3 linked regions of the Oryctolagus cuniculus genome follow. The protein of the gene in region 2 interacts with the protein of the main gene of each other region in a biochemical or structural test. Links are inferred from orthologs where the notes say so. Each region holds a gene or a part of one and is shown on either strand. Other genes may lie near its edges.

Evidence for each region. The genes of interacting proteins can lie anywhere in the genome.
Region 1: the proteins of ITCH (region 2) and SPART form a complex in vitro, tested with the Homo sapiens proteins (2 studies listed by BioGRID). The link is inferred for Oryctolagus cuniculus from reciprocal best matches to the Homo sapiens genes ITCH and SPART.
Region 3: of the proteins of ITCH (region 2) and NFE2, one has a biochemical effect on the other in vitro, tested with the Homo sapiens proteins (2 studies listed by BioGRID, with this or other methods). The link is inferred for Oryctolagus cuniculus from reciprocal best matches to the Homo sapiens genes ITCH and NFE2.

What each region holds. Positions count from the first base shown.
Region 1 is NC_091440.1:77,753,645-77,763,053, reverse strand, and holds the start of SPART (spartin), read right to left. Parts: upstream 5,098-9,409; 5' UTR 4,914-5,097; intron 4,744-4,913; exon of another isoform or gene 3,998-4,743; intron 1-3,997. UniProt on the Homo sapiens protein: Lipophagy receptor that plays an important role in lipid droplet (LD) turnover in motor neurons.
Region 2 is NC_091442.1:23,705,992-23,715,653, reverse strand, and holds the start of ITCH (E3 ubiquitin-protein ligase Itchy homolog), read left to right. Parts: upstream 1-3,573; 5' UTR 3,574-3,705; exon of another isoform or gene 3,706-4,286; intron 4,287-4,353; exon of another isoform or gene 4,354-4,542; intron 4,543-8,546; 5' UTR 8,547-8,623; intron 8,624-9,662. UniProt on the Homo sapiens protein: Acts as an Acts as an E3 ubiquitin-protein ligase which accepts ubiquitin from an E2 ubiquitin-conjugating enzyme in the form of a thioester and then directly transfers the ubiquitin to targeted substrates.
Region 3 is NC_091442.1:57,224,489-57,234,152, forward strand, and holds NFE2 (transcription factor NF-E2 45 kDa subunit), read right to left. Parts: upstream 5,098-9,664; 5' UTR 4,100-5,097; coding exon 4,028-4,099; exon of another isoform or gene 3,988-4,027; intron 3,788-3,987; coding exon 3,614-3,787; intron 2,529-3,613; coding exon 1,521-2,528; 3' UTR 1,283-1,520; downstream 1-1,282. UniProt on the Homo sapiens protein: Component of the NF-E2 complex essential for regulating erythroid and megakaryocytic maturation and differentiation. Binds to the hypersensitive site 2 (HS2) of the beta-globin control region (LCR).

The DNA.
Region 1 (9,409 bases), on a different chromosome or scaffold from region 2:
ATTGTCAATCTATAACTGTGCCTAACTTGTAAATTAACCTTATCACAGGTTAAGTGTGTATAGAAAAATATAATAGATATAAAATTCAATATTATCTATGGTTTCAGGGACACACTGGTGATCTTGAGACATCTCTCCTTAGGACAAGCAGTAACTGTGTGTGTGTGTGCACACACATGCACATGCAGCCGGCCAAGAATCACAAATTTGAGGAAAGTATTACAGATAAAACAGTATTTCATTATTCTTATTAGTACTAAAGAATAATGCAGTTTTGTTGAAATTGACAATGTATAGGAAAACTTTTTAAAAACCCTATCATTTATATCAACATGAAGAGAAAGACTGCATTCATAAGATAAAAACAGAACATGCATACCCCCAAAAATGGACATTCAAAAAAAATGAATGGAACTTTTAAAAACTAAATATAAAATATCTGGAAAGAAAAATTCAATACAGGGATGAAAACATAAGATTATGTAATTATTTTTAAAAAGCTCAGAAAGCAGAGCAAAATATAGAGATGATGAACAGGAAAGAGAGGTTGGTGCTGTGGCACAGAAGGTTCAAGTCCCAGCTATTCCACTTCTGATCCCCCTCTGGTAACACACCCAGGAAAGCAGTCAAAGATGGCCCAAGTGCTTGGGCCCCTGCACCCACTTGAGAGACCCAGAGAAAGCTCCTGGTTCCTGGCTTTGCTGTGGCCATTTGGGGAGTGACTAAGCGGATGGAAGATCTTTCCCTTTCTTTCAAATAAATAATTATTTAATTAAAAAAAAATACAAAAGAGCACGTAAGAAAATCAGGACCCAAGGTCCTGAATTATAAAACTTCCAGATATAAAAAGAATGAAAGACCTTAAGAAATAATTCACAGAATTTCTCATTAACTGGAAAACATGAATTTCCATTAAAGATAAATGGATAAAAAATAATAATAAAAAAAAACCTGCCAAGTAACAGGCCATGAAGTCAGAACACTAGGCTCCAAAGGACCATCTAAAACGGCTTATACAAAAAGTGAGAATTATAAGCGGTAAGAAATTTCTACATAGCAACTAAAATTTCAAATAGCACAATTAATTCATAATTCTGAGTAAAAACAAAAAACTTCCAAACTCAGTCAAATGACTGCTCAGGTATTGTATCCTCTATTTCCTGGACACCATGTTTGGTGAAAGAAATCTCAAGGCTGATGATAGAGTTCTGAAGATGGCAAATATGTAACTTGTCCAGAGTAGAAATAAAACTCCAGAATAGATTTCTCCCAGAAACTAAAATTGATGAAACACCCAATGTATTTCCTTGTTTTAAGATGATATACACAACTGTGGGAGGATTCAGGGTTTAATTTGTGACAAATGCATGGGAAATTAAGACTATTAGTTACTAACTCTAAGAAAAACAAGATATGGAGGCAGAAATAAAAAGGAATCCCAGTAGACAGTATATTTCAGTTTTGATTACTTACTGTCTTATTAATAAAATTATGATATCATATTGAAAAGATGGGAAGACCAATGAATAAAGTTTTGTGTGCATGTGGTAAAGAAAGAGCAAGTTAGAACTTCATCTTTCCTACTAGGATGTTAGTGGAAAATGCCTAAAACAAAATACAAAGTAGCAATAAAAGCATAATGTTTATAGAGATATAGAAAGTCCAAAAGAATTCGATAGGGAAATTGATACAAGCTGTCTTAGGAGATAGGGGAGGGTTTAGAATAGCTGAATTTCTGATTTTCACTACAAAATTTGTAAAAATATTTAGTTCTTTAAACTATGTGAATGATGTAAACATTTTAATTCCATGCTGTCCAACAGAATTATAATACAAGCCACATATGTAATTAACACATTTTTCTAATAACCACATTAAAAGTCAAAGAGAAACAGGTAAAATTAATTCCAATGATAGTATTTTATTCAAATACATCCAAAATATTATTTTCACATGTCATCAATAAAAACAGTACTGATGAGACAGTAATCAAGATCGTATTTGTCCTGTTTAAAAAAAGTTTATCTCAATGCCAACCAGCTCCATTGCAAGTTCTCAATACCCACATGTGTCTAGTGGCTACCTATACTGGACACTGCAATTTCAGAGATGCTTTTCCTATGTTCTCATTGGAACTTATCATGGCAGGAACATTTAAAGGACCTAAGACTTTCAGCAGCAACCTAAAGTATGAAGGCATTGCAGAAACTGTTATCTAGCATTAGTGATAAAAAGCTATGCTTCCTAACCTGAAAAATAAGCTATTAATCACTCTTATCACACAGCAATTTCATGATAATCAACAGAATATATTCAGTTGAGAAAATACCTTATACAAATGATCATTTACAGACCCTCCTTATTTGCCTTATGTGAATTCTATCAAAGCTGACATTCCCCTTCCCTGGAATTTTGTCCTGTTGTGTCACTGGAACCCCTTCTCTATTCCATAGACCCCAATTCCCTCTTCTTCCCTCAGAAAAGGAATTCTATACTACATGGGACGGCCTTGTGGCACAGCAGGTTAGTCACTAGGGATGCCAGCATCCAGTATCAGAGTGCTGGCTGGAGTGTCAGCTACTCTGCTTCTGATCCAGCTTCCTGCTAATGCTCCTGGAGAAGGAATGGATGACAGTTCAAGTATTTGGGACTCTGCCACCTACATAGGGGACCTGAATGGAGTTCCAGACTCCTGCCTTTGAAGATATCAATCTTTCTCTCTCTGCCTTTCAAGTAGGTAAATAAATCTTTAAAAAAAAAAAAAAAAAGAATTCTAAGCTCGACCTTCAGAGCTCTTAAGAAATTAAGCAATACATTCAAGGCTTATCATATTTCTAAACATAGGTAAGCGCTGATTAAGTATCTTTGAAAGATTTAAAAAACTATTAAATGACTTTAAATATTTAATTTTCAAAGCTGAAAAAAATTTTGAAATGTCAACCTGAAGTATTAAAAAAGTATAATAGTTAAATCTAAATCAGAATCAAAACCAGATACCAATGATGACCTTAAGTTATGATTTTTAAATGTTCTAATAAAAACACATTTCAAACATAAATATGGGGTTTGAAAAGTTTATGGAAAATTAAATTACAACCTTATTTGATGCAAAATTTTTGAAAGCCATGTAGGTTTTTCATAACATACATTCTCCATGAACTTTTTGGAGCCACTCATATTTCTGTGTATATGCTTTTTAAAAAGCTCAACAAAAAAGGTAAAATTCCAAATCAAAATATTTAGCATATTAATTCAAATCTCATAAACACTGGAAGTGGTAAATAATCATGCTTAATGGTGAACATAAGCAGTCTCCTATAATACTGCATTTACCTCTCTAAAGCTAGCAACAAAAGTTGCTCTAATGTCCACCTATCTGGACCTTTACCAAAAAAGGGGCTTTTTATTTCTTAATTGACAAGTTATATTGACAGTAAACAGAGCGATCTTGATTTTAATATTAAATAAAGCTAACCTATCCATCAAGTCAAATATTTGATATTTTTCGAAATGAGAACAGATTTGAGGTTTACTCTCATCAGTACTGAAACATACAGTATTCAACTATTAGCTACATTCACCACGCTGTGCAATGTATCTCAGAAAGAAAAATCAAACCTACTCCTCCTACTGAGGTGGAGAGAATGAGGGATGGATAGTCAGGGGGCTTTTTCTAAAACCTGGATGCAACTTCCAAGTCCCACTGCATTTTGACCTGTTAGGGAAACTATGCGCCACAGGTGAGAAGTAAACCACAAACCAGGTAACGCAAGGGCTTCTGTTTCGAACAGGTCATCCCGGTACAAAGCCTCCAAATTAAGAGCATTATTGTAGAGGAGCAAGAATCAGGATTCAGAAAATCTGTTTATAATTGGGCCTTCTTGTATCGCCTCCTTCTGATTTGCAAATATATTGCAAGCCAGTATTTTGAGGCAACAAGGCTCTAGAACGCAAACTGACTGATTACAATACAACAAAGCACACCTCGGGGACCTACCAGAGACCACCAGAGAAATCTGTTGCAATCTGAGCGCGGAAACTGGGCCGAGCCTGCAGCAAACGCAATAATGCCGTGTCACGAAGCAATGCGCGTTCCCACAGAAACTTTCTGCGCACGCAGAACCAGGACCGACGGCCCCTGAGCTGTGCCCCCTAGTCGACAGGAACACACGTATTCCACGGCGAAAAGCAACTGCAGCAGGCTGGGGACTTTTTGCAAAGACCCTTAGGCGCTGGGGGGAGGGTGAACAATCACAAAAATTTCCAAAGCCAAAACAAACAGCGGGGAGTGGCGAGCAGGGATGCTCCTGGAGGGGCGGGGGCACTTTCCACGCAGAAAGCAAACTGGGGCGCAAGGGGTGGGGGGTGCCTCTCGTACGAGACGGGGAGTAACAGAAACAACTTCTCAAACTATCCTTTCTCGGAATTGCTCCCCTTCCCTAAAGGAGACCCGGGTGAGCGGCCCGGCCTCCTCCGCCCTTCTAGACCGGCCCTCCCCGTCCCACAGCGAGTCCACCGGGCCCAGGGCACCCACGCCCGCCCTCCCGCCCCGGAAGCCGCGCAGGGGCGAGCCACTCCCCGCCCCACCTGTGCCTTCCAGACCGCAGCGCCGCCCCGAGTGTCCCCCGCCCGGCCGCCGCTGCCCAGCACCCGCTCCCTCGGACGAGCCGCCGCGGCGCCGCGCTCCGCCCCGCCACAGTCCCGAGGTGCCCAGCGCCCTGCCCTCCCGCGCGCGCGCCCGCCGCGGGCTCACAAAGCGTTCCAGGCCGCGCGCCCCCGGCGGCGCCACGTCACGCGCGCGCGCCAGCCCCCGCAACCGCGCGGCAGGGCTGTCGCAGACTTGCTCTCACGGGACGGCGGTTCCCCGCGGACTTGTGACCAGCCCGCCCAGACGAGGTTCAGTCCACGCTGACCTTCCAACTGCCGCGTGGGAAGACGACAGTCAGCTTCAGTCCCAGGAGTCGCTGTGAAACTCCGCCAGGAGGGGAAAAGAGCGAGCGCGGGAGGCCTGCGAGCACCTCGCGGAGTCAGCGGCTCGGCCGGGACCCCAGCCGGGGTTTCCAGCGGCAGTGTAGCCCGCCCCGCGCCTGCGCACTCTCTCTGCCCCGCTCACCGCGGCCTCGGGAGAGACTAGGACGGGGTGGTAGGCTGCGAGGCCTGCGGCCGCTGGAAACAGAGCTGAACACTTTGCACCTGGGAGAACAATGGCTAATCCTCCCCTTGGAACCTTGTCCTTGTGACCGCGCTGAGTCTCCAAAAGGTTGCCCACAGCAGCAAGGTTCAAAGTTTGCTTGTTTGCGCTAAACATCCGTATCCGTACCGCAAGAAGTTAACTTTCGGACTCCAAAGGATAAAGGACCAGTCTTGCCCATACCATTTAGGAATATGGCATGCTAAACGGAAAAAAGTAAACATCCTGTCTACTTTTCCTCAAAAGTTCTTTAAAAGTGGTACAAAGCTGTGATGACAGATTCATACTTGTGAATAAGCCTTCCTTAGATAAATCTGTATGCGATGCCCTGGTATTTAAACATGCTTAAGTGACTTGTCTAGGGATGGCAGTGACTTGTTTCAGATGAATTTTTACCCTCATTAGACAATGTGATGTCCATAATAATGTACAAGATACATGAGCAAGCTTTTCTTTAGCAGGAGCAAATTGTATTCCTTTTCTTCAACTCATTTCCGTTTCACATTGTGAAATTTTATCTCAATGCAGTGTGTGGGTTTATTCTTGAAAATATTTTCTTTATTACCTATTCCTCTACCTAAAAAATAAGTAAACAAATTTAAATATAATTTTTAGAATTTCCAAAAGCTGTAAACTATTTTAAAAATGTGAAGTTTCTACATATACAAGATCATTATAAATAGAAAACTAAAGAAGTTAAAGCAAAGCTACCAGAACTAATGAGTTTGTTAAGGTTGCAAGATAGACAAAGCAACATATAAAAATCATACACACAGTGTATACTTCAAGAATTAAACTGAAAATTCCATTTGCAATATTATGAAGAATAAAAATTCGGGGGGCTGGTATAGCACAGTGGGTTAAGCTACAGCTTGGCACTCCTGCATTCCATAGTAGAGTACCTGGTTTGAATCCCAGCTAATTAGTACTTCCAATCTAGCTTCTGGCTAATGCCCTTGCGAGACAGCAGAGGGTGGCCCAAGTGCTTTGCTTCCTGCCACCCAAGTATGCGGCCTCTATTGAGTTCCACGCACCTGGTTTAGCCCAGCCTCTGTTGTGAGCATTTGGAGAGTGAACCGGAAGATGGAAGCACTCGCTCGGTCTCTCTGTCCCTCTCTTCATCACTGCCTTTCAGATAAAATAAATCTTTTTTTAAAAAATATTTATTTATTTATTTATTTGAAAGAGTTACACAGAGAGAAGGAGAGGCAGAGAGAGAGAGAGGTCTTCCATCCGCTGGTTCACTCTCCAATTGATGTCAATGGCCAGAGCTGCACTGATCCGGAGCCAGGAGCCAGGAGCTTCTTCCGGGTCTCCCACATAGGAGCAGGCCATCTTGTACTGCTTTCCCAGGTCATAGCAGAGAGCTGGATCAGAAATGGAGCAGCCGGGACTCCAACTGGTGCCCATATAGGATGCTGGCACTGCAGGCGGTGGCCTTACTTGCTTTGCCACGCGCTGGCCCAAAAATAAATCTTTAAAAGGAATAAAATACTTAGGGATAAATTTAATAAAATAATTGTATGACTTATACACTGAAAACTATGGAAAATTACTGAAAGAATTTAAAGGCCCCAAAAAATTGAAAGGCATTCCATGTTCATGAGTTTAAAGACTTCATATTAAGACACTATTCCTTTGGCTCTTGGCTTCGGATCGGTGTAGTGCTGGCTGTAGCGGCCATTTTGGGGGTGAACCAACAGAAGGAAGATCTTTCTCTCTCTCTCTCTCTCTCTCTCTCTCTCTCTCACTGTCTATAACTCTACCTATCAAATAAAAAAAAAAACAGTGTTTCCCAACTCTTATTAATAAAAAGCACTATTCCTAAAATGGATCAACAGATCCAATGAAATCCCTGTCAAAACCAAACGACTTTATGGAATTTGGCAAACTGATCCTAAAATTCAGGGAAACTCGAATGACCCAGAATAAAAACAGTTTTGAAAAAAAAGTTGGATAACTTAGACTTTCTAATTTCAAAACTTACTACAAAGATGCAATGATCAGTGTGGTGCTTGATCAATGTAATAAAATCAAGAGTCCAGAAATATGAAGATACTTCAAAAAGATCATGGAGAATGGAATTGAAAGATGTTTATTTTGGTGCAAAAATGTTTAAATTCATGCATAGTTTTCTCATAATATAAGGTTTCCATAAACTGTTTGCTTTTATTTAAGAGATACTTACACAGAGAGCTCCCATCCTCTGGTTCACTCCCCACATGTTCACAATGGCAGGAGCTGAACCAGACCCAAGGCAAAAGCATGGAACTCAATCCAGATCTCCCGTGTGGGTGGCAGGAAGCCAGTCACCTGAGCCATCACCTGGTGCATTAGCAAGGAGCTATATTCAGGAGGCAGAGTAGGGACTCAAACCCAAGCCCACTGACTTGGTATGCAGGCTAAACAGGACTTATTAGCAGTCCTTCCAAATTTGACAACAATTAGAAACACTTATATTGAATTATCAAGATGAACTATATTCCTAAATTATATTTTAAAAGCTAATCTGGATAAACAGAGAAGAAATTGAATTTTGTCTTTCTATGGAATATATGAGTATTGCAAAGTAATTTTTATATGAAGAAGCAAAGGTTTTTGTTAAAAAGGCAATTCCTTAAACAAGTTAAATCTATTAGAGTTTATTTGAACAAAGCAAAACAAAACACAATTCTTGAATTAGGCAGCTTGTAGAACCAGAGCAGAGTCTGAAAATTCCAACCAAAAATATGATCTGTGGCATAGCAGGTAAAGCCACCGCCTGCACTGCCAGCATCCCACATGGGCACCGGTTTGAGTCCGGATTGCTCCACTTCCGATCCAGCTCTCTGCTATGGCCTAGGAAAGCAGTACAAGATGGCCCGAGTCCTTGGGTCACCGCTTCTATGTGGGAGACCCAGAAGAAGCTCCTGGCTCCTGGCTCCTGGCTCCTGGCTTCGGATTGGCGCAGCTCAAGCCATTGAGGTCAACTGGGGAGTGAACCAGCGGATGGAAGACCCTTCTCTCTTTCTCTACCTCTCCTCCTCTCTCTGTATAACAATGACTCAAATAACTAAACCTTTTTAAAAAATGTGATCTGACAGTATTTATACCAAAACGGAGGTGAAGCATAGAAAGCAACTTAACTGGCTACAATTCAGTCAACTAGTCAATTGGTTGCAGTGTAATTAGTCAATTGTTTACAGCTTAGTTTGTTAATTGGCTACAGGGCCTTCTGCAACCAACCAAAACTCACTGCAATTAGAATCTATGTTACTTGGATCTGTTGGTCCAGTGCAGGTGCCCTTTCCAAATCCACAACCTCCCCTAAATTTTACAGCATACAGCCCAAAAAAGGAAAAAGTATTATGGGATGTGCAAGCACCTAAATAAAGTATTATGTTATTTTTCTGGATTTTGTGGTATCATCAGGTTTTTTTTGAAATTTTTAAGTTTCATGATTCACTTTTGTTCTTACTTTTGTATTCATTTTTTACAGAAGATCATCCAAATTTTAAGAGCAGTAAGCACCACACAACTTGGATCTGCTTAGGGTGAAGTGGCATTTAAGATTAGACGAAAGTTATCTCATACTTGAAAACATGTGAAAAGTCATTTTTAACACTCAGTTTGTCTTACTGAGGTCAAAGGCTCAAACTGTCAAATGAGGCTGGCAAGAAGCAGTGATTTTACCAAGTCACAAGAAAATAAGAGAGATGTCTGGAACTATTGGATGCCTGGGGCTTAAGACCCAGGACAAGCAGATCCAGATTTCAACAGGTCAGAGAACAACTCGTAGCTCTTTGTGGGTTTATATCCCCTTTACTGACAGTGGCGGTGAGAAATGCGCAAGGAACAGCTACTCCCTCTGATAGCAGTGGGACCATGGGAGAGAGTCGCCTTTGTGTCTGTGATGATAGATAGACACATTCATCCCATAGAGGCACATCTACATCCACACAAAGCCACACATCCACGTACAGCTACATTCGCTAGTAGTCATATCTACCAATAGCTGGGTTTACCAAAAGCTGCATCCACCAATAGTTGGAGCATCCACCCACAGTGGCTTATATGAGTTTACAGTCAATAGTGGCCTGGAGTCAAACCATTATATGGCAGAGTTGACAATGGTTAACAGAGAGAGACAGAGATATGGGAGCACAGAGATAAAGGGGCAAGGGCGAAGAGGCTTGATAACTTGATAACTTCACCTTCCCTAGTTTATCTCCTCAACAC
Region 2 (9,662 bases):
GTTTATTTATTAGAGAAAGGTCTTCCTTCCATTGGTTCACTCCCCAAATGGCTGCTACAGCTGGTGCTGTGCTGATCCAAAGCCTCTTCCTGGTCTCCCATGCATGTGCAGGGACCCAAGGACTTGGGCCATCCTCTGCTGCCCTCCTGGGCCACAGCAGAGAGCTGGACTGGAAGAGGAGCAACCGGGACTAGGACTTGGCACCCATATGGGATACCAGCACCGCAGGCGGAGGATTAACCGAATGAGCCACAGTGCCAGCCCCTATCTCTCTCTCTCTCTCCATCCATCCATCCATCCATCCATCCATCAATCCATCCATCCATCCATCCATCTATAGAGAGAGGTCTTTCATCCGCTGGTTCATTCCCCAGATGGCTGCAACGGCCAGAGCTGGGCCAGGCTGAAGCTAGGAGCCAGGAGCTCCATCCAGGTCTCTCTTGGTTAGCAGAAGCCCAAGCACTTGGGTCATCTTCTGCTGCTTTTCCCAGGCCATTTTCAGGGAGCTGGATTGGAAGTGAAGCAGTTGAGACATGAACCAGCACCCATATGGGATGCCAGCATCGTAGGTAGCAGCTTTACCCACTATGCCACAATAGCAGCCCCTTAAACTTTTATCATTGTACAGTACAGAGAAAAATACACAGATCCTAGGGTTACAGCTGGATGAATTTTCACACAATGGCTTGTGTGCCAGCACCTAGATCAAGGCACAGATCATTATCACTGCCCTGAGAAGTACCTTTGTGCCTCTTTCCAGATACACCTCCCCTGAAAAGATAACCACTATTCTGACTTCTAATGTTATAGATTTGTTTTGCCTAATATTATATAGTTTTAAAGTTATAGATGGGGGCCAGTGCCATGGCACAGTGGGTTAAGCTGCCCTCTGCAGTACAGGCATCCTTCATGGCCACCGGTTCAAGTCCCGGCTGCTGCACTTCCGATCCAGATCCCTACTTATGGCCTGGGAAAGCATGGAAGATTGCCCTAGTCCTTGGGCACCTGCACCCATGTGGGAGACCCTAAGGAAGCTCCTGGCTCTTGGCTTCAGAATGGTCCAGCCCTGGCTACTGCAGCCATTTGGGAAGTGAATCAGTGGATGGATGCTCTCTCTATGTCTGTCTCCTCTCTCTCTCTCTGTAACTCTTGACTTTCAAATAAATAAATAAATCTTTTCAAAAAATTCTAGATCAAGACTAAATCTGCATCCAGAGAGAGTATTTGGCTAGGTTCCTGGCTGAGTGCTCCTGACCAGTCATTTACTTTCCTTCAGACTCAATTTTCTTCTCTGTATAATGGTCATGATAATACTTCATACCTTAAAGGGTTGTTACATTTCCCAAACTTTTCTAGTGACAAGAATGCCTTGGAGCTCTGGTTAAAAAAACCAGATTCCCCTACAGCATAACCCTTAATAGGACAAACATAGTTGTGTTGTGAAGAAATACTTTTACTTTTTTTGTGTGTACAAAGCATAAACACACAGTATATAAATAGATACATATTATATTGTGCCATTAAACTTTCATGGATGGGGCTGGCGCTGTGGCATAGAGGGTAAAGCCACTGCCTGCAGTGCCGGCATCCCATAAGGGCGCCAGTTCGAGACCCAGTTGCTCCACTTTGGATTCTGCTCTCTGCTATGGCCTGGGAAAGCAGTAGAAGATGGTCTAAGTGCTTGGGCCCCTGCACCCACGTGGGAGACCCAAAAGAAGCTCCTGGCTTCTGGCTTCAGATCCGCCCAGTTCTGGCCATTGCGGCCATTTGGGGAGTGAACCAGCAGATGGGAGACTTCTTCCTCTGCCTCTCTGTAACTCTGTCTTTCAAATAAATGAATAAATCTTAAAAAAAAAAAAAAACTTTCATGGATGGGATAACTGGAGGAATATGTCTAAAAATGCTCTTTAGAGAGAGAACTTTTTAAAAAAATATTGGTAAACACTGCCCTAGAGCAGTGATTCTCCCAATGTGGAGATCTTGGTTAAAAATGCAAATTCTTGGGGCTGGTGCAGTGGCATAGTAGATTTTAAGCCTTCATCTGTGTTGCTGGCATCCCATATGGGCACTGGTTCAAGTCCTGGCTGCTCCAGTTCTGGTCCAGCTCTCTGCTATGGCCTGGAGAAGCAGTGGAAGATGGCCCAAGTGCTTGGGCCCCTGCACCCATGCGGGAGAGCCAGAAGAAGCTCCTGGTTCCTGGCTTTGGATCTGCCCAGCTCCAGCCGTGGCAGCCATGTGGGGAGTGAACCAGCAGATTGAACATCTTTCTCTTTGCCTCTCAAAAAGAAAAAAAAAAATAAGATTTTCCAAAAACTTTGTTATGAGAAAAAGCTGCCAAAAATTATATTAAAAATGCAAATTCTCAGGCCCTACCGCAGACCTATGGAATCAGAAGCAGACAGGGCCCCCAGGGATCTGTGGTTTAAACACAGAACCACCTGCAGGTGGTTGAGTCCTGACTGCAAGACTCCCTGCTCTAGAGAATCTGAGTGGGGTAGGTCCTTGGAATCTGTTTTTAACAAGCTGTCCAAAGGGGGTAATGCGGAACCACAGTGGTTTTGAAAGTACTTTGAAAAGTGTGACTTTCCAGATGGTAAAACAGTATTTTCATTAGGAGGAAACAGGCTAAATAATAATAGCAAAGGTCACTAATTACGGAGCGCTTCCTTGTGCCTGAGTCACTACTTGCACGGCCTATTACTTCTCACAAACAACTGTGCAGGACTTGGGCGGAGGGATGGGAAGGCAGACTGCCCAGGTTCTTATCCGGTATGTGACTGTGAGGCCAGGTGACAACGGTCCTTCTCTCATTGATGTGTTGTGAGCAGGAAGGGAGCTGGGTGCTCACTCCTAGAGAACACCAACCACGCGGGCGCCTCACCACGCCCATCATCCCCAAGCCTCCCTGTTAAAGGCTGGAGGAGGAGGATTTGAGTCCACTCAGTGTCTGTTTTTAGGGACTAAGCTGGGGGCCACCTCTGCAGCGCAGTGGGTTAAGCCACTACTTGGGATGCCCACAGACATGCCATATAACAGTGCCTGGGATCCAGTCCCACCTCCGGCTCGCTCCCAATCCAGCTTCCTGCCAAAGCATCCCGGGAGGCAGGGGAGGATGACCCAGGTGCTTGGGTCTCTGCCACCCACGTGGGAGACACAGAGGGATTTCCAGGCTGCTGGCTTCGGCCCGGCCATTTAGGTGTAAACCAGCAGATGGAATCTCTCTGTCTCTCCCTCTCGCTGTCACTCTGCCTTTCAAATAAAAACAAAAAAAGAAATGCAAATGATCAGACTCTGTCCTAAATCTACTGAAATTCTGGGGGCGGGAGCTCAGCAGTGTAAGTTTTAAAAAGCCCCTCAGGCGATTCTATGCACACTGCAGTTTGGCAACTCCAGCTACAGTCTTCAGAGGTTCTGGTGGGCGGGGTGCTAAGAACAAAAAAGGAAAAAGAAAGCGGAGCTGGGAGCCACTGGAGTCCTCACCTGGGCTGGGAAGAACTCCACTTAGCAGCTCTCACCAGCCCCCAGCTCTCCCGGCCCGGCAGCTGGCTGGCGCGCAAGGCCTGCTGGGGCTTGTAGTCCGGGCCGCTCCCGAGTGGAGGCGCCTGCGCATTGGCCGCTAACTCGCTTTAGTCGCTGTGGTCGGGGCTCGGGACCGGCTGCCATCTTAGTCGAGGGACTGAGGAGTCGCCGCCGCCCCGAGTCCCGGTAAACACCCGCGGGCTGACTGGGGGCGGTTCTGGGAGGAGGGGGAAGCCTGGGTGAGAATGACCTGAGAGAACGAGGGGTCGAGGAGTGCGGCGCCCGAGCCAGGACCGCCCCAGCGGCTGCGGCTGCTCCTGCCCTCCTAGCCGGTGTTCGTGGGGGGCGCGGGGAGCACGGGCCAGTGGCCGGGGCCGGGCGAGGGCTCGGATCGGCCAGACACACCGCAGGGCCGGCGCCTGCCGAGTTGCCCCGACCCCCTCGTCTCGTGGGCTCTCAAGTTGTGAGCGGGATGGGCCGCGGCGGACGTGGGCAGGGTCCATCCCCGCGCCCCTCCGCCGCTCCCGGGGGCCACTCTCCCGAGGCCCGGCCTACGCGCGGGGCCGGGCGGCCGCGGGCTACGTGGCCCTGTGAGGGGCGGCGGCCAGGCCCACCTGCCTCTGGTCTGGCCCTCCCGGGACTTTGCCGAGCCTTTGGTCTCCAGGAGGGCCCAGCCCGGCGGCTGCCTCCTCTGGTCTCCTCCACTCCCCTCCTCCCTCCATTGTCCCCCCGCGTGGTGGTCCCGGGCCGGGCGCCCTCCCCGGCGCCCGCCGCCACCGCCGCCGCGGCGCCGACTTGTGCAGACGTGGAGCTGTCACTGCCCTTGGTCCGAAGAGTGCCCTTTTCTTTAGCAGAGAAGAAAGTAGCTGTGAATGTGTTCTAAGGGCCGAAACGTGAGGAAGACGAGACTTTGAAGCGGTGAACTCAAGTTTGGAGACTCCGTTCGGGCCGCGACTTTGGAGAAACGGGATTTGTGCTCCCGAGGTCATCGTCGGGCCTAAAGTTAGTCAGAGAAGTAACGAGGTGAACTTGCGAAGTATCCGAAATTCTCCTTTCCCCCAGAACAACTCAGCGGGTTTTGTGGTTATATTAGTATCCTAGTCTTGTTACATTTTCTGCCGTTCTAACACCGCTGTAGTATACTTGCTTTGGATGGGGGGTGGGGAAGGAAGAGTGGGGTTTTTCTTTGAAAATTATTGAGCCTTTTTTTGGAGCCAGCCTCCTGTGGTCGGACTTAGGTGGATCGCCCTGCATCTGTTCCTAATATAATTCGACTTTAAGGAAATAGGTAAAGGCAGTGTTATTTCCACCGGCAGAATCGGCGAAGGACTTGCTGCTTCTCTGAAAGTTATCATGGCAGATCTGGTGAGAGCCTGCACGGTGTATTGACATGTTTACTCAAGGTGCAATGACTTCATTTTTCGGATTTAAAAATGAAAGTGGAAATTCTGCTTTTTAGAACAGTGGGTATAAGTCCAAAAGGACTTCATCTTCAGCGTGCGGGTCAAGGCAGCAGTGATAATGTGAGAATGAAAAAAAAAAAAAGAGTGCACAGAACTTCACTGTAGTCCAAAGTAAATAATTTCTACAGTCTTTTAAAAAACACATCTTTACACCTATTGCAAGAGAAAGGCAAACCAGCGGTCTCCAAATATGACCATTAGGGTAATGTTTTTTTTAAAAGTAGACATCCAGCTTCTTCCGTCTGAGATTGATTTAATAGATCTGGGTTGGCTTCCGTTTGTTTTCAGAACATGCCTCAGGTGATTCTAATGGGCCTGGGAACTACTGAGGTAAACAGTATTGTGGACATACCAAGGACAGCTCAAGAAACTTTTGAGACTGAGAGACGAGGAAGTGGTTAGTTCTGACTAGGGGTTGGCCAGAGGAGGAATCTAGACCTGCCCTTAGACCTGTGTTGGATCTTAGGTGATGAGCAGTTACATGACAAAGGTGAGGAAGAGGGGTAGAGAGAGGGAACATCTCAACCCTATGTGATGGCTGGAAGAAGGGTTCCGGGAGCGGGCAGAGAGTGGGATAGGGAAGGAGAGCTTTATGAGATGTGAAGAATGAAAGGTAAAAAGAAGCAGCTATGTGAAATGTTCTAAATATAATGCTGGAAATTTTGAATTTTGTTGTCGCTGGAAACATGCTGATTCTTACACAGGGATGAGAGGTGAGCGCCTGCGTTTTAGAAAGATTGCTCTGATACCAGAGAAAGGTTGGAAGAGTGGCTGTTGCAGAAGTCTAGGTGAGAAGTGACAAAGCCTGATGTTGCGGGAGAGACAGCTGGGATGGGTAAGGGATTGGATTCAGCTTTTTACTAGTGTGGTTTGTTCCTGTATTTTTGGATGAGGATTTTGGCAGGGAAGCAAGTCTGTGTAACAGGCTGCTTTTCTCTCAAAGGAACCCATTAGTGAGTCTGAATAGCATTGCCAGGTTATTTACGTTACTAGTATTAGAGTGAATTACTCACAAGCATATAAGAAATTAGAACCATGTCAGGTGCGATTTAGAAGATAACTTGACTGAAATTGACTGTCAACACAGGTGATTCAGGCTTGTTGGAGGTGTTTTTTGACAGTCTACCGAAATTTAATACTCAATTTTTAGAGTTGGAGATATTATGTACTCGATTTTGGCAAATAAATTTTGGTTTATAGGCCAACTTGAATTGAAGTAGCTGTCAGAGGAATTGTGTTTAGAAGGATTCTGGTTGCGTGGATTCTCTGGAAATGTGTTATGTTTAACTAGTGTTGCCTCCAGCTGATGGTTACCTAGTGGGTTACAAGGAGTCTTCATTAAGTTTATGGAAAAGCTATGAATCGATTCAAAATATGTTGCACCAAAATTATCTTTCAATTTTATTTTTCACAGACTGTGTAGTACCCTTCTTTATATGTGCCACGTATTTTTTTTTTAAAGATTTATTTTTTTATTTGAAAGGCAGAGTTAAAGCGAGAGAGATCCTCCATCTGCTGGTTCACTCCCCAAAAGTCTACAATCACCTGAGCTGGGCCAGCCAGGAGCCTCATTCAGGTCTCCTACATGAGTGCTGGGACCCAAGCACTCTGCTGTTGCCTTCCCGGGCACACCAGCAGGGAGCTGGATGGGAAATGTTGTAGGCGGCATGTGGGTACAGGGGCCCAGACACTTGAGCCATCTTCCGCTACCTTCCCAGGCACGTTAGCAGGGAACTGAATAGGAAGTAGAACAGCTGAGACTCAAATCAATGGCCATGTATGACGCTGACATCACAGGCAGCATCTTAACCTGCTGTACCACAGCAGCCATCACAAGGTATTCCCAGACTAGTCCAACCTATTAGTTTTCTGTTTGGTTTTAAAATTATTTAATTACAAATTTTTAAAGATGTATTTATTTGGGCCGGCACTGTGACTCACTTGGTCAATACTCCACCTGCGGTGCCAGCATCCCATATGGGCACCGGGTTCCAGTCCCGGTTGCTCCTCTTCCAGTCTGGCTCTCTCTTGTGGCCCAGAAAGGCAGTGGAGGATGGCCCAGGTGCTTGGGCCCCTGCACCCGCATAGGGGACCAGGAGGAAGCACCTGGCTCCTGGCTTCAGATCGGCGTAGCTCCGGCCATGGCAGCCATTTGGGGGGTAAACCAACAGAAGGAAGACCTTTCTCTCTGTCTCTCTCACTGTCTAACTATATCTGTCAAATAAATAAAAAAAGATTTATTTATTTGAAAGGCAGAGTTACAGAGAGAGCGCGCGCATAAGTACAAATGCGATCAATTTTCTATCTGTTGGTTCACTCCCCAAAGGGCTGCAACAGCCAGGGCTGGGCCAGACTAAAGCTAGGAGCTTCAAACTCCATTCTGGTCTCCCACATACTGCTTTTCCAGGTGCATTAGCAGGGAGCTGGATCAGAAGTGGAGCAGCCAGGACTTGAACTGGCACCCATATGGGATGCTGGTGTCACAGGTGGCAGCGCAGCCTGCTGTGCCACAGCTCTGGCCTCTGATTGTTTTTGAATTTTTATTTTTTTTAAAGGTCAAATAATTTATCTGAAACTAGTTAAGAGTCAGAGCTAGGACTAGAACCAGGTTTTGCAGTGCTCAGTCTGGTATTCTAAAGAGCTTTTGGTGTAAGACCAGGAAAAAAAAAATGAGGTATTTTCAGCTTATTCCTCTTGACTGTTTAGACAAGAGTTTAACAAGGAACTTTGGCCCAGAAACAAGTTTGTTCTGTTCATTCTGGCTGAAAAAACTTGTGTTAGTACTGGTGGGAAATAGTCACCTGTTTGATTCCCTCCATTCCCCCTCCTACCAACTCCCTACTTTTCTTTTTCCTCACCACTTCTGATTTTGGATATTGGAGATTGATTTTCTCTACATAAGTTGAATCAAAAGCATGCAAGTTTTTTTCCCCCTGTATTTATAGTTCTTAGCCAAATTCTGCGCTTATAATAAGCAGTCAGTAAAGGCATGTGGATTTTTCGTGGCTGTAAATGATACTGGCTTTGAGACAATATGAATTAGTAAAGGGTTTCACAGAATTGATTTGTAGCATTCTCTGATTGGGAGGTTAGCCCTCAGCTAAAACTGTTAGGTTGGAAACTATCCTCACCTCAAGGAGTAGTTAACCCTGCTATTCCTGCCCCTGTCTGCCTCTAGTCTAGTAGTGCACTTCCATGTAAAACTGCTGTCCCCTCAACTCTTTTTGCTTTTTTTCAGAACTGGCTGTGGTCAGATCCTTGGAGTGCTTTTTCTTTTCCTGTCCCTAGAGAATTCCCCATTACGGGAATCATCCTTACCGTGACCCTTATATGTTTATGTTGTGATTTTCATTTGGCCACATGTCCTTTGTACCTAAGTTGATGTCATCCTGTTCTGTGTATGAATCATTCCCCCCACCTCACGCTCTACCTACCTGCTCCATCAAACATTATCTCCTGAAGAATTTTTTAAAAGCCTTTGTGCTGTGTGAGTCCCAAGATCATTGCAAATATGGTGTGTTTAATCATAGAAATAATGTTAATGGACTCTCCCTACCCTTTTAGGTAACATGCCTTTCACAGTGGCCTTCTGGAGACAACGCCTTAACCAAAAGAAGTGATTTGAACTGTGAGAACTTCAGGTATGGCGACATTCCTACAAGAAAGATTTGGGGGCAGGAGTGATGCAGAGGACAAACCCTGGTCTCATATAACTACTGTGGGGAGATGTGGGGTGAGAGAGCATTGTTGGTGCTGGTTATGTCAGTTTATTGAAGAAATAGGCATTTTCCAAAAGCCTCTTCTACAAAGATTAGCCCATAAACTATACTTTTTCTTAATTTGGGTCCTCTGAGTTTTCTGTATCACTCCATCATACTTTGCCGTTTGTGCTGTTTTATAAATATTTTTCTATATAAACTTGTCTAGGTATTTGCACATGTATTGGTAAGAAGTGGAGGAATTGAAAAGAGGGCAACATGGTTCAATGGAAGAAAGAGGATTTAGGAAGAAAAGTTTGGGTTCTGATTTGCCTTTACCACTGACAAACTGAATGGCTTTTGGCAACTTATTTAATCTCCTTGGACATAAATTTATGTATCTATAACACAGAGGTATTGATTTTTATCTGTCTACTTGGTATGATTGTAAATCAGATAAAACATTGTAAATTTTCAGAAAAGAATGAATTCATATTAAGATAATCTTAACATGATTCACAGAATGGGAGAAATTTGGCAATAATATTGTGAAGGAAAGCATGAGAGTAAGACATTACTTTAAAAAGTTAGGAGAGAGGGGGCTGGTAATACGGTAGGTTAATCCTCAGCCTGCAGTGCTGGATCCCATAGGGGCACCGGTTCGAGTCCTTGCTGGTCCTCTTCTGATCCAGCTCTTTGCTGTGGCATGGAAAAGCAGAAGATGATGACGCAAGTGCTTGGGCTCCTGTACCAGTGTGGGAGACCTGGAAGAAGCTCCTGGCTTTGGATTGGTCCAGCTCTGGCTGTTGAGGCCATTTGGAGAATGAACCAATGGATGGAAGATTTCTGTCTTTCCCTCTCATTGTCTGTAATTCTACTTCTCAAATAAATAAATAAAAGATCTTAAAAAAAAGTCAGAGAAAAGAGAAACACTACTAGATAAAAAAATAGTAGAACATAAAGTCAAACTGAATAGGGAGTG
Region 3 (9,664 bases), about 34 Mb from region 2:
GTTTTGCATTTATTTATATTAAATGGCTTTAGGTTTCATGTGCTGTGCTTTGTTTTATACAAATGAGGGAATTCAAGGTAAGACCTCTGGTCCAAGTTGATGTTCCCAGCTTGGCTATAGGTCGACGTGGCAGCTCCAGAATGGTCTTGCCTGGTAACAATCTGAGAGGAGGCTGCACCTTCAGGTCCTAGGGCTTGAAGTGATGAGGTCAGGTAAATAGTTGAATTTGCCTGTGGGTTGTGTTCGGGACATTGGATTTTTTTCATTCTACCCAAAGATGAATTTTAAAACTTGAGCAGTTAGCTCTGCATTTTACAACTTAACATGTGAACGTTTTCAGTTCTCTGAGACAAAGTTGACAAGTGGGCCCTGTACTAACAGGAAACTCGGGTTGCTTTCATTCCATAAAGCTTGGCTACACGGCATGTTTCTCAGTGGGCTTGAGCACCCACCGCCTGTGCCCTGTCCCTGCTGTGGGCTCTTGGAGCTGCCCATCTATACTTGCATCAGACCTGGGATGAGGATTCCCTGTGGGATGATAGGAAAACCGGGTTGAAGGGTAACAGTAAGGTGTTTCAGGTGTGGAGCCGTGGATGTGCCGAAGTGGGAAATCGGGATCCCCTTGAGTTCAAGGAGATGTGTAGAGGGAGGGCTGGTTGGATTTTAGGTGATGCGCCTAAGGAGCCAAACTCCAGGTCCCTGTATCTGTTTCAAGGGTGCAGGGAGAGCACCTAACAACGCACATCTGAGGATGTAGAAGTGGAGGGCCCCAAGGCAGCGACTGGTGCTGGGCTGTGATAGAACCAGGAAGAGGAAGTTCTACAGGACGTACGTGTTTGATTCCACTGTGGAGCCCCGTGGTGTGAAACCTCTAAAGCTGTGGTGTCTGGTCAGATTCCCGAGTGGAGAACCGCTCGCCCAGCCTCCTGAGAGCCCTGGCACTTCAGCACCCAGGCTGAGAGGTGAAGTGGGGGCAGGACAGAATGAAAGGCTGTGTGTGTGTGTGTGTGTGTGTTCCAAAGAGATCTCAGGGCATCACCAGTTTGTGGGGCTCCCAGGAAATGGGGCGGGGAGCTCCTCAGACGATCCACGCCCCTGACTAAAGGAGTTTAGACGGCTGGATCTCCACCCTCTTGAAGCCCACGTTTTCTTGACTTCTCAGGCGAGCTCTGGAGGGAAAAGAGAATGAACCTGGCAGCATCCGCCCAGCCCTGGACCCCAACAAGTAGTGCTCTGAGCGCCCAGCTTCACCATCATCGCAAAGGTAGACGCAGTAGAAGGCTGTTTGTGCAGAACGCTTTATAGACCAAAGCTGGGACAGGGCTGGAGGTGAGAGGTCAGGGAAAAAAGGTTCTGGCCCAACCCCCACACGAGCTGCCCCAAGGCAAGCCTCAGTGAACAGCAGGGTTCCCACATTGGTCTAAATAAGTCTGCTTTATCTGGGTCTGGGGTCGGGGAGTCCCTTTATCAGAAGGGAGGGAACTCCCCATCACCAAGCCCACTCTCCACCCTGAGCCAGTTCAGTCTGTGGCCTCCGCCTTGGTCGCTCGGGGCACCAGGAAGATGGCACCATCGGCAGCCTGCTGCAGCACGTACTCTTCTGGGGAGTAGCTGTTGCCTGACTCATCCCGTAGGTGCTGGAAGATGTCCCGGTACAGCTCGGTGAGCTGTTGGCGCATGACTTCCAGGGTCCGGTCAGCCTCCCCTCGGGCCCTGAGAAGCCGCTCTCTCTCGCTGCCCAGCTGCTCCAGCTCCCTCTCCAGCTGCACGATGGTCTCCAGCTTTCTCTTGCGACAGTTCTGGGCGGCCACCTTGTTCTTGCCCCGCCGGCGGATGTCCCGGACCAAGGCCAGCTGGCTGTCCGTCAGCGGGTAGCGCGCCAGCAGCTCGTTAAAGTCGTCTACCGGTAGGTTGACGATCTTGTCCGTAGGGAACGGGATCTTCATGGCCAGGGCCCGGCGCTCATCCCGACTCCCGGCCTCCCCGCGTGCGCTCGGCTTGGCCCGCACAGGGCCTGACGAGGGCTCTAGGGCCAAGGGGGCCTCGGCGGGTGGCAAGGTGTAGCTGGGGTGGACCAAGGCGCTGGGCACGAGTGAGTAGGGGTACTCCACTGGGTACATCTCCAAGTACTCGCCGCGCCGCCGGCCGGCCTCTGTCCCCTCCAGCTCGAGAGACTCGGCGTCGCTGTAGTTGAGGGATAATCCCGAGTCGGATTCTGGGTCTTCTTGGGGCTTGGGCGGCCCTGCAGGCAACCCAATGTCCAGGAGGGCTAAGGGGTCTGGGAGAGGCTCGTTGAGCAGGCCTGAGAGGGTCAGTGGCTTGGAGACTGGACCGGCCATGTTGTTGTAGGGGTAGGGGGCGTCTGGGACGTGGGATGTGGGTGCTGGGAGCTCATAAGGTGGTGGGGGCAGGGGGAAGCCAGCATCCGGGGGGACGGAGCAGGGGCAGTAAGCTGGTGGGGGCAGGGGTCCAGAGAAAGGGGCTGGGGCTTGGGGCTCAAACGATGGCTCACTTGGAGCGTTTAGGCCCTGCAAGGAAAGACATAAAGAGGTTGGGAGGGAGGCTGAGGAAGTGAAAACTCAGGACAAAGCTGGGCCCCTCGGAAAAGGCCAGTAGCAAGAGAACAGAGAGAAATGCCGAAAACCGACGAGGCTTCCTGCAGAGCTGTGTTAGCAATGCGGGGAGAGCAAGAAGGACAGCGAGGTCAGATTCAGAACAGTCTACCTAATGCTGGAACAGCTCCCGGGGTTCGAATGGCCCAGGAGCCTTTCTTTCCTTCAGGGAGAAGGCAAGGCGTTGGTAGCCAAGATGACCCTTTCCTGCTGCAGTTATCTGGGGTCAAAGGGTCAAGTCCAGGCCCCAGCCATGCCCTGGGTGCCCAGCAGGGGGAGCTGCTACCTGGAAGGAGGGCCCAGGGCAGATCCTAAGGGCGTCCGTCAGGCCCCGAGGCAGGGGAGGGAAAGAGGGCGGGCGCAGAGCTGGGGCCAGGGGCCGAGAAGCACTTTGGGGAACTGGCAGGAGCTCGGCCCTCTCCTCCTGTGTCCCTCTGTCCCTGCCCAGGTGCAGCGAGGAGGAGAGAACGTGCTGCAGACAGGGCCCCCAACCCACATAGGGGAGCCACCCTGCTCCAACCCAGCTGGGGACAAAGGCCTCATTGTTAGGCCAACAGACACCCCTTTGTCCAGGGAGCAGGGGGAGAGGACCCCAGCATGGCTGGACTCCCCTTCCCTTCCGAGGCCCCTGAACTGCTGCCCTGCTACCTGGGGGGAGGTCTCGGTTGCTAAGAGCAGGGAGGAGGAGATGGCAGGACTGGAGAAGAGGGAGGGAGGACAGAGCCAGAGGCAGCGTGGAGCCGTGAGCAGCATGGCTGCTGAGTGAGCTTTGCCCTCGCCCCTCAGACCCTCCCCTCCGCTCCCCAGCACTCCTGTCCCCGCTAATGCACACTCCCCAGGTTCCCCCAGACTCCCCAGAGTCTCCCATCCACATCTCCCACATAGTCCAGCCCTCTCTTTCCCAGCCTGGAACACTTCCAGCCTGGGCCCCGCTTGCTCCCACCTGCTGCCTCCATCCAGTGCAGGCCAGGCTCCCCGCCCCGCCCCCCCACCCCGCTCACCTGCAGTTCGGTGATGGACATGATCTCTTGCCAAGTCAGTTCCATCTCGCCCAGCTCTGGAGTGGGCAGCTGTGTCAACTTGTTCCTGCTCTGCTGGGGGGAACACGGGGGCATCCTACTGGGCCAGGGTCTGTCTGGTCCAGGTTCCCCCAAAGCCCGAACGACCCCAGCAACCTGCGCCAAAGGAGAAAGGTGTGAGAACCGCTCCTGCTGGGCTCAGCGAGTCTCTCCTTCCCCCAGTGGCCTTGAAGCAAGAGAGCCCTCGCCCATCCTGAGCTCCTCAGCCCCTTAGAGCTCAAAGCAAGTGGGGTGTGAGACCGCCCGCTCACCTACTCAGGCCGCTCAGCTCATGTGGGAGCACAGTAGGACTTTACCTGGTCTTCGGACAGGATGCCTTCTCTCTCTCTCCCTTACCTCTTCCGCCCTAGAAATGTACTCCTGGCCAGGGCAGTCTTTTTGGTTTGGGTTGGAAGTCTGGGGCAACATCAGGGGCCACCCCTGCTTTCCTCGTCCGTCTTCAGCTTCAAGATCTCAGCCTTTTCTTCCCAGGATGAGAGTGCACGCTTGGGGGATCCCCCAAGGAGTGTGTTATGGGAAGAGCCACACAGACAGCTTTCTCCAGCATGTGGCCCAGGCCTGGGTGCTGATAGCAGCCCTGCCCTCCCCTGCCTGGGCCAGATAAGAGGCTTATCAGCTGCAGGCAGCAGGGGCAGAGGAGGAGTGGACTCTGCAGACACTGGACCTTGGCCTTGTGTCCCCACAGGGTCATCTTGGCCATACCTCAACCCTTAAAGCCAGGGGTCTTTCCTCTTGCGAGGTTAGCGTAAGCACCCTAACAATGAATTACTAAGTGCTTTTCAGGGGGTTGTGCAGGGCCTCTGTGAGCATCGGTCAGGAGAGTGACTTTCACAAAGGTCCTGTAGAGTGGGTTCAGAAGCCAAGACCCACAGCAGCATGAGGCCTGGAACACGACCCTCCTGGCCTCGCCGGCACCTGCCAGCCCTGTCCTGGGTCTGCGTATCCCAAGCCTCTGCTGGCACTGACGTGGTCACTTCTCCCCGCGGACTTGCAGCCTCTTCCCTCTCCTGGGCAGTTTCCCTTTAGACCCCTCAGTGTGCACTCCCCTCCAGCGCCGCTGCTTCTGTTTTGGGCTCCAGCAGCGGCAGCGGGAGGTTGGGCAGGCCATGTCGCTTCTGGGCCTGTTTCCTCTTTGTGAAAGCAGAGTTAGACAACCTGATCTCGGAGGTCCTTCCTGCAGGGGCGGCGTGCGCTTCACTCCTGCGCAGATCTGTCTGTGCGTCAGTCCCTCTTCTCATCCCAGCTCCCCAGCTCCTGACACCCATCACTGCCCACATCTGTCCTTGTCTTCAACAAGCAGAACAAGAGGCCGCAGAGTTTTGTCCAGGGCCTCCTGATCTCAGCGCACGTGCACGCAGCACCATGCAAGGATGGGAAGCAGGCTGGGGATGAAGGAAGCCCGCAGAGTGCAGAGGGTAGCCCTGGATGACCTTAGATAGCCGGACCCCTGACCACCCGCCGCAAGGCTGGCCCGCCACAGCTGTTTCACACGGAGCCCATTCTTTGGCTGGACCACAAAGCCGGGGCCGGGGGTCGGGGGGGGGGGAACGACTACAGATGACCCTTTCGAAAGAGGATCTCTCCTAGCCTGTGCCTCTCTCTGCTTGCAACTGGGAGTTGGTGGAGGTACAGGTCCTCCTTCAGCCAGCAGGCACGGTGGGTGGGGTGTTTATGTCTGTCCAGGAGGCCATTTCAACACCGGAACCCCACCCTCCCCCACCCAGGTTCTGGCGGAAATTGCCCAAAGGCAAAGTGAATGGAGAAGGGGTTTTGGGGGCAGGGACATCCACTCTTGCCTCATAGTTCCTTAAGCACCCCATCCCCCTTCTGTCTTCCCGGATCTGACACCCAGGTGCTGTATACAGAGCCTGCCCCGGGAGGCAGGGAACCGGATTCTCCATTCCTCAAGCAAATCGCTTCCAAAGGCCAAATTCTGTCTCCTCCCTTAAATAGCGAACTAGAGAACCCCACTGCCGTGAGAGGCCGTGGTGCTGTGTCTGTCTCAGAAGTCACACATGTATCGTGCACTGCATCAACCCGGGGCCATGCGAACACACAGACTCGAGAGGCTCCCCAGACCTCGGAACCGAATTCCCAGGCGCCAGAGGAGCCCAGTAGGTGATCCTTAGACTTCTAGCTTTGAACCTTGAGCCAGGCAGCCCTGTCCTGTCTCTGAGCCGAGGAATCCGCTCCCTCTCGGGAAGACCTGGGGCTCAGAAGGGAAGCGAGGGCAGCTGGGAGGCTGGGGCAGAGGGAGTTTAAGGACAACCCCAGAATCAGCTCCAACCAGCAGTTTGCAGCAGGCTCCAGGGGGAGTGGGAGGCTTCTCCCAGACGCTCAAGGGCCGGCTGGAGAGGATCTGTATATCAGATAGAGACCACCACTGGGCCCCAGGAGGCTATCCCTCAGAGGGACAGGTCAGGGAGGCAGCATAGTCAGAACTGGCTCAGCTGGAACCCCACAGGGGCCACCCTGGGAAAGACGGGTGGGCTTCCCTGTGCCCCCCTTCCTTAGCAATGAGCATCTCCCACCTTACAGTTTCGCCTGCATTTGGGGGGTCAGTCCCCTTATTCCCACTCCCACTGAGTTGGTTGGCTGCTCCTCCTCTTAGTTCCCAATACTGTGGACCAGGTAGGACTGGAGCCATCTTTAGGGGCTAAAATCCATCCTCCTCACTCTCATCCTGATGGTCCTCTCCAGAGAGATTGTTCTCACAAGCCCTAAATACTCGCAGAATTGTGCAGAGTCTTATGTTTGGGGGTACAGAGCGAGGAGGGTGGCGCGGGGAGAGGATGACTCTGGGCCTCCACCACTGTCCCAGGGCCCCTAACTTCCTTGACGAGCAGGAATGACGAGGGAGGGGGCTTGCTCAGACCACCCCACCTGTCCAGGCATCCCTAGAGGCAGTAGGGATGGGAAGGGAGCCACAAAACTTGGGATGTGGCACGGTGGGGGAGCAGCCCCCTTAGAAAGACTAGGGAGAACCCTCAAAGAAGGAGAGGCAGACCTCAGGGAAAGGGAAGAGAGCTTTGATCATGGGGGTCTCCGTCCTCTGGGGACAAAGAGGACTGAGCGGTGTGTGTGTGTGAGAGAGAGAGGGAGAACAGGGAGAGGGGACCAGCTCCTGGCATCCCGCACTCCACCCCTTGACCCCAAGCTCCAGTCTGTTGGGACATTGCGTGGAGAGTCCCAGCAGAGGATGCTCCTCTGCCCCCTGGCTCTCAGGCCACCAGGAGCTCTGGTGGGGTTCGCCCGCCTTCCTGTCCCTTCCAGGTCTAGCTGATCTCTCCTGTGCAGAGAAGGGGCAAGGGGAAGCTGGAACCCAGCACCCCCTACCCAGTCATGCCACTTCTCAGAAGTCCTCAATTGTTTAGCTTCCCCCAAACCTCCACAGCTGGCTGGACCGAGAAGAATGCAATGGGCCAGGGGGAGGACGGTATCATGTACCTGGAAGTCTGTTGCCCGCTCAGGGCAGCCCTCAGGCGACCACCGGTCCCCATCCACTGCCTCCCACCCCAAGGATCCCAGGGCACTCAGGAAGCTATGCAGGTCTTCTCCCAGGGGAGTTCTCCCAGGTGCCAATTCCTAACCTAGGGCAGTGTGGGGAGGTCTGAGGTCTCCTGGGAACCTATGGAAAGTTGCTGCTGTCTCCCTCACTCCTTGGCCTCCCCCTCCCCAGCCTGCCCCAGGATCTCACAGGAACCCCCCCCCCCACACACACACACACCCGCGCCCACCCTGCCTTCCGGCACCTGTGGCAGAGTCCAAGCGTGCACGAGCGAGCAAGCTGGGTAAGGAGAGAGTTGAGGTTCCAACTGGCGTCTCTGGGCAGGCTGGGTCTGAGCTGACACCTCCTGGGCCAGGATCTCTGTACCTCTAAGCTCCCGCAAGGGCTTTGTCCCGCCCCCCGGCCATGGCCGAGCTCTGAGCCTGGAGGCTCAGGCTGTGCTGAGAGCAGTGAACCCGGAGGCAGGCGCACGGGCTCGCTCTCGGTCTGGAGCCCTGGCCTCCCGAGTTCTCAGTCCTTCCTCCAACCCTCCCCTTTCCCCGTGGCCCTCCTCTCCTTCTGCCCCTTCTGGCCAAGAGAGGAAACTTGAGCCCAGTGTGGTTTCTGCCCACAGCCCGCCCCCACCTTGCTCCCAGCCAGCGGGGGCACACAGGGCTCCAAGCCTCTCCCGGCCTCTTTGGCTGCCCAGGAGCCCGGCCAGGGCTGCGTTTCTTCTGCGCGCATGATGCGTTCCAACCTGCAGGACCTCTCCAAAGTGACCTGTAAACTCTATGCAGGTTGTGTCTGTCCTCTGCCCCCAAAGCCAGCTCTCGGGGTCCTGGAGACGGGGTCACGGCGAGGTGGAGGACTGTCGAAGGGAGGATAGCCGTCTCGCTGCAGCTGGTTGGGTGGGTGGGCGTTTAGGTCAAAGCCTTCAGTTAAGGAAAGCCTGGCTCCGGGAATGGGCAGGGGGATTTGGAGAGGAGGGGCAGGCTGCTTTGATGTACCCTGTCACCTGCAGCCTCCCCTCCCCCTCAGCCTCAGATATCCTAGCACAAAAGCCTCTTTCTTGGCCTGGCTTTTCCTCTGTGTGAGAGAGAGCAGAGGTGGGTGGGGGGCTGCCCGGCAGGGAGATTATTCACCTCTCTGAAAAGGGACCCCCGGGTGTCCTCTGTCCTCCTTTCTTCCAGCCTAGGCACCTTGGGACCCTGGACACACCAGGACACGTGTGTGTAGGATGTCAGGTCCAACTCCCAGCCCCCATGGCAGCTCTCTGTGAGGCCAACACAGACCCCTTGAGCTTGCCCAGTCACCCTGTGGCCTCCAAGCCCCAGGGCAAACAGATCTCCCACGGGAGACCGGGAGAAAGGAGTTATCCTTCCTCTTAGCTTTCGGTGACTTTCAGCTCTGAAAGTTCTTTGCCTGTCCGGCTGCGATCCTTTTGTCTGCAGCTGGCACTTTTTCTCTGTTTCTTTCTTCTCCTGGGGTTTTGAGATCATTGGAAACATTAAGACTGGGGAAGTGGACAGGTGCCACCCCAAGGCAGTGCTGACGCCCAGCGAGCAGTCTCTGATAGGATGGTGTTCAGCGTTGAGGAAGAATGCTCCTCATTGATAAAGAACAGGTGCTGTAGGTGCTCTGTGTGCCCCCAGCACCCACCATCCCAGTTCTTCCCTAAGACACCCCCCACCCCGACAGCACAGCACAACAAGTAAGGAGGCAGTGCCGCAAGCATGAGGGGCCTCCTGTGCAGCTGGCGTGGGCTGGGAATAATCCACATCCACGTGAAACCCACGGTTCACTGCGCTGAATTCCAGCAAGTGCTCGTGGACTCTCTGTAACCTGGTGTCACTGAACAATCAGCCGCAAGAGTGACTGTCACCGGGGCCGACGCTGTGTCGCAGTGGGTTAACACCCTGGCCTGAAGCTCTGGCATCCCATATGGGCGCCAGTTCGAGACCGGGCTGCTCTACTTCTGATCCAGCTCTCTGCTGTGGCCTGGGAGAGCAGTGAAAGATGGACCAGGTCCTTGGGGCCCTGCACCCACATGGGAGACTGGGAAGAAGCTCCTGGCTTCAGATTGGCACAGCTCCGGCTGTTGCGGCCAATTGGGGAGTGAACCATCGGATGGAAGACCTCTCTCTCTCTCTGCCTCTCCTCTCTCTGTGTAACTCTGACTTTCAAATAAATAAATACATCTTAAAAAAAAAAAAAGTGACTGTCACCACCTCTTGTTCCCTCAGAGGGACCTGAATATGTGCGCTGTGTCCGAATGCCAAGACTGCGGCCCAGACTCACGCCCAGGTCACCCGTAGATTCTGAACCCACTTGGAGCGTGCGTTGAGGTCATCAGCTCGCCTCCCACTCTCACAGATCTTGCACGGAGCATCATGGCTTCCTGGGCTAGGGGTGTGGGGAGCACCAGTTCAGGTCTGCAGACCCAGCGTACGCATTCGACAGGTGTCAGTGGAGCCTTGCTCCGTCTT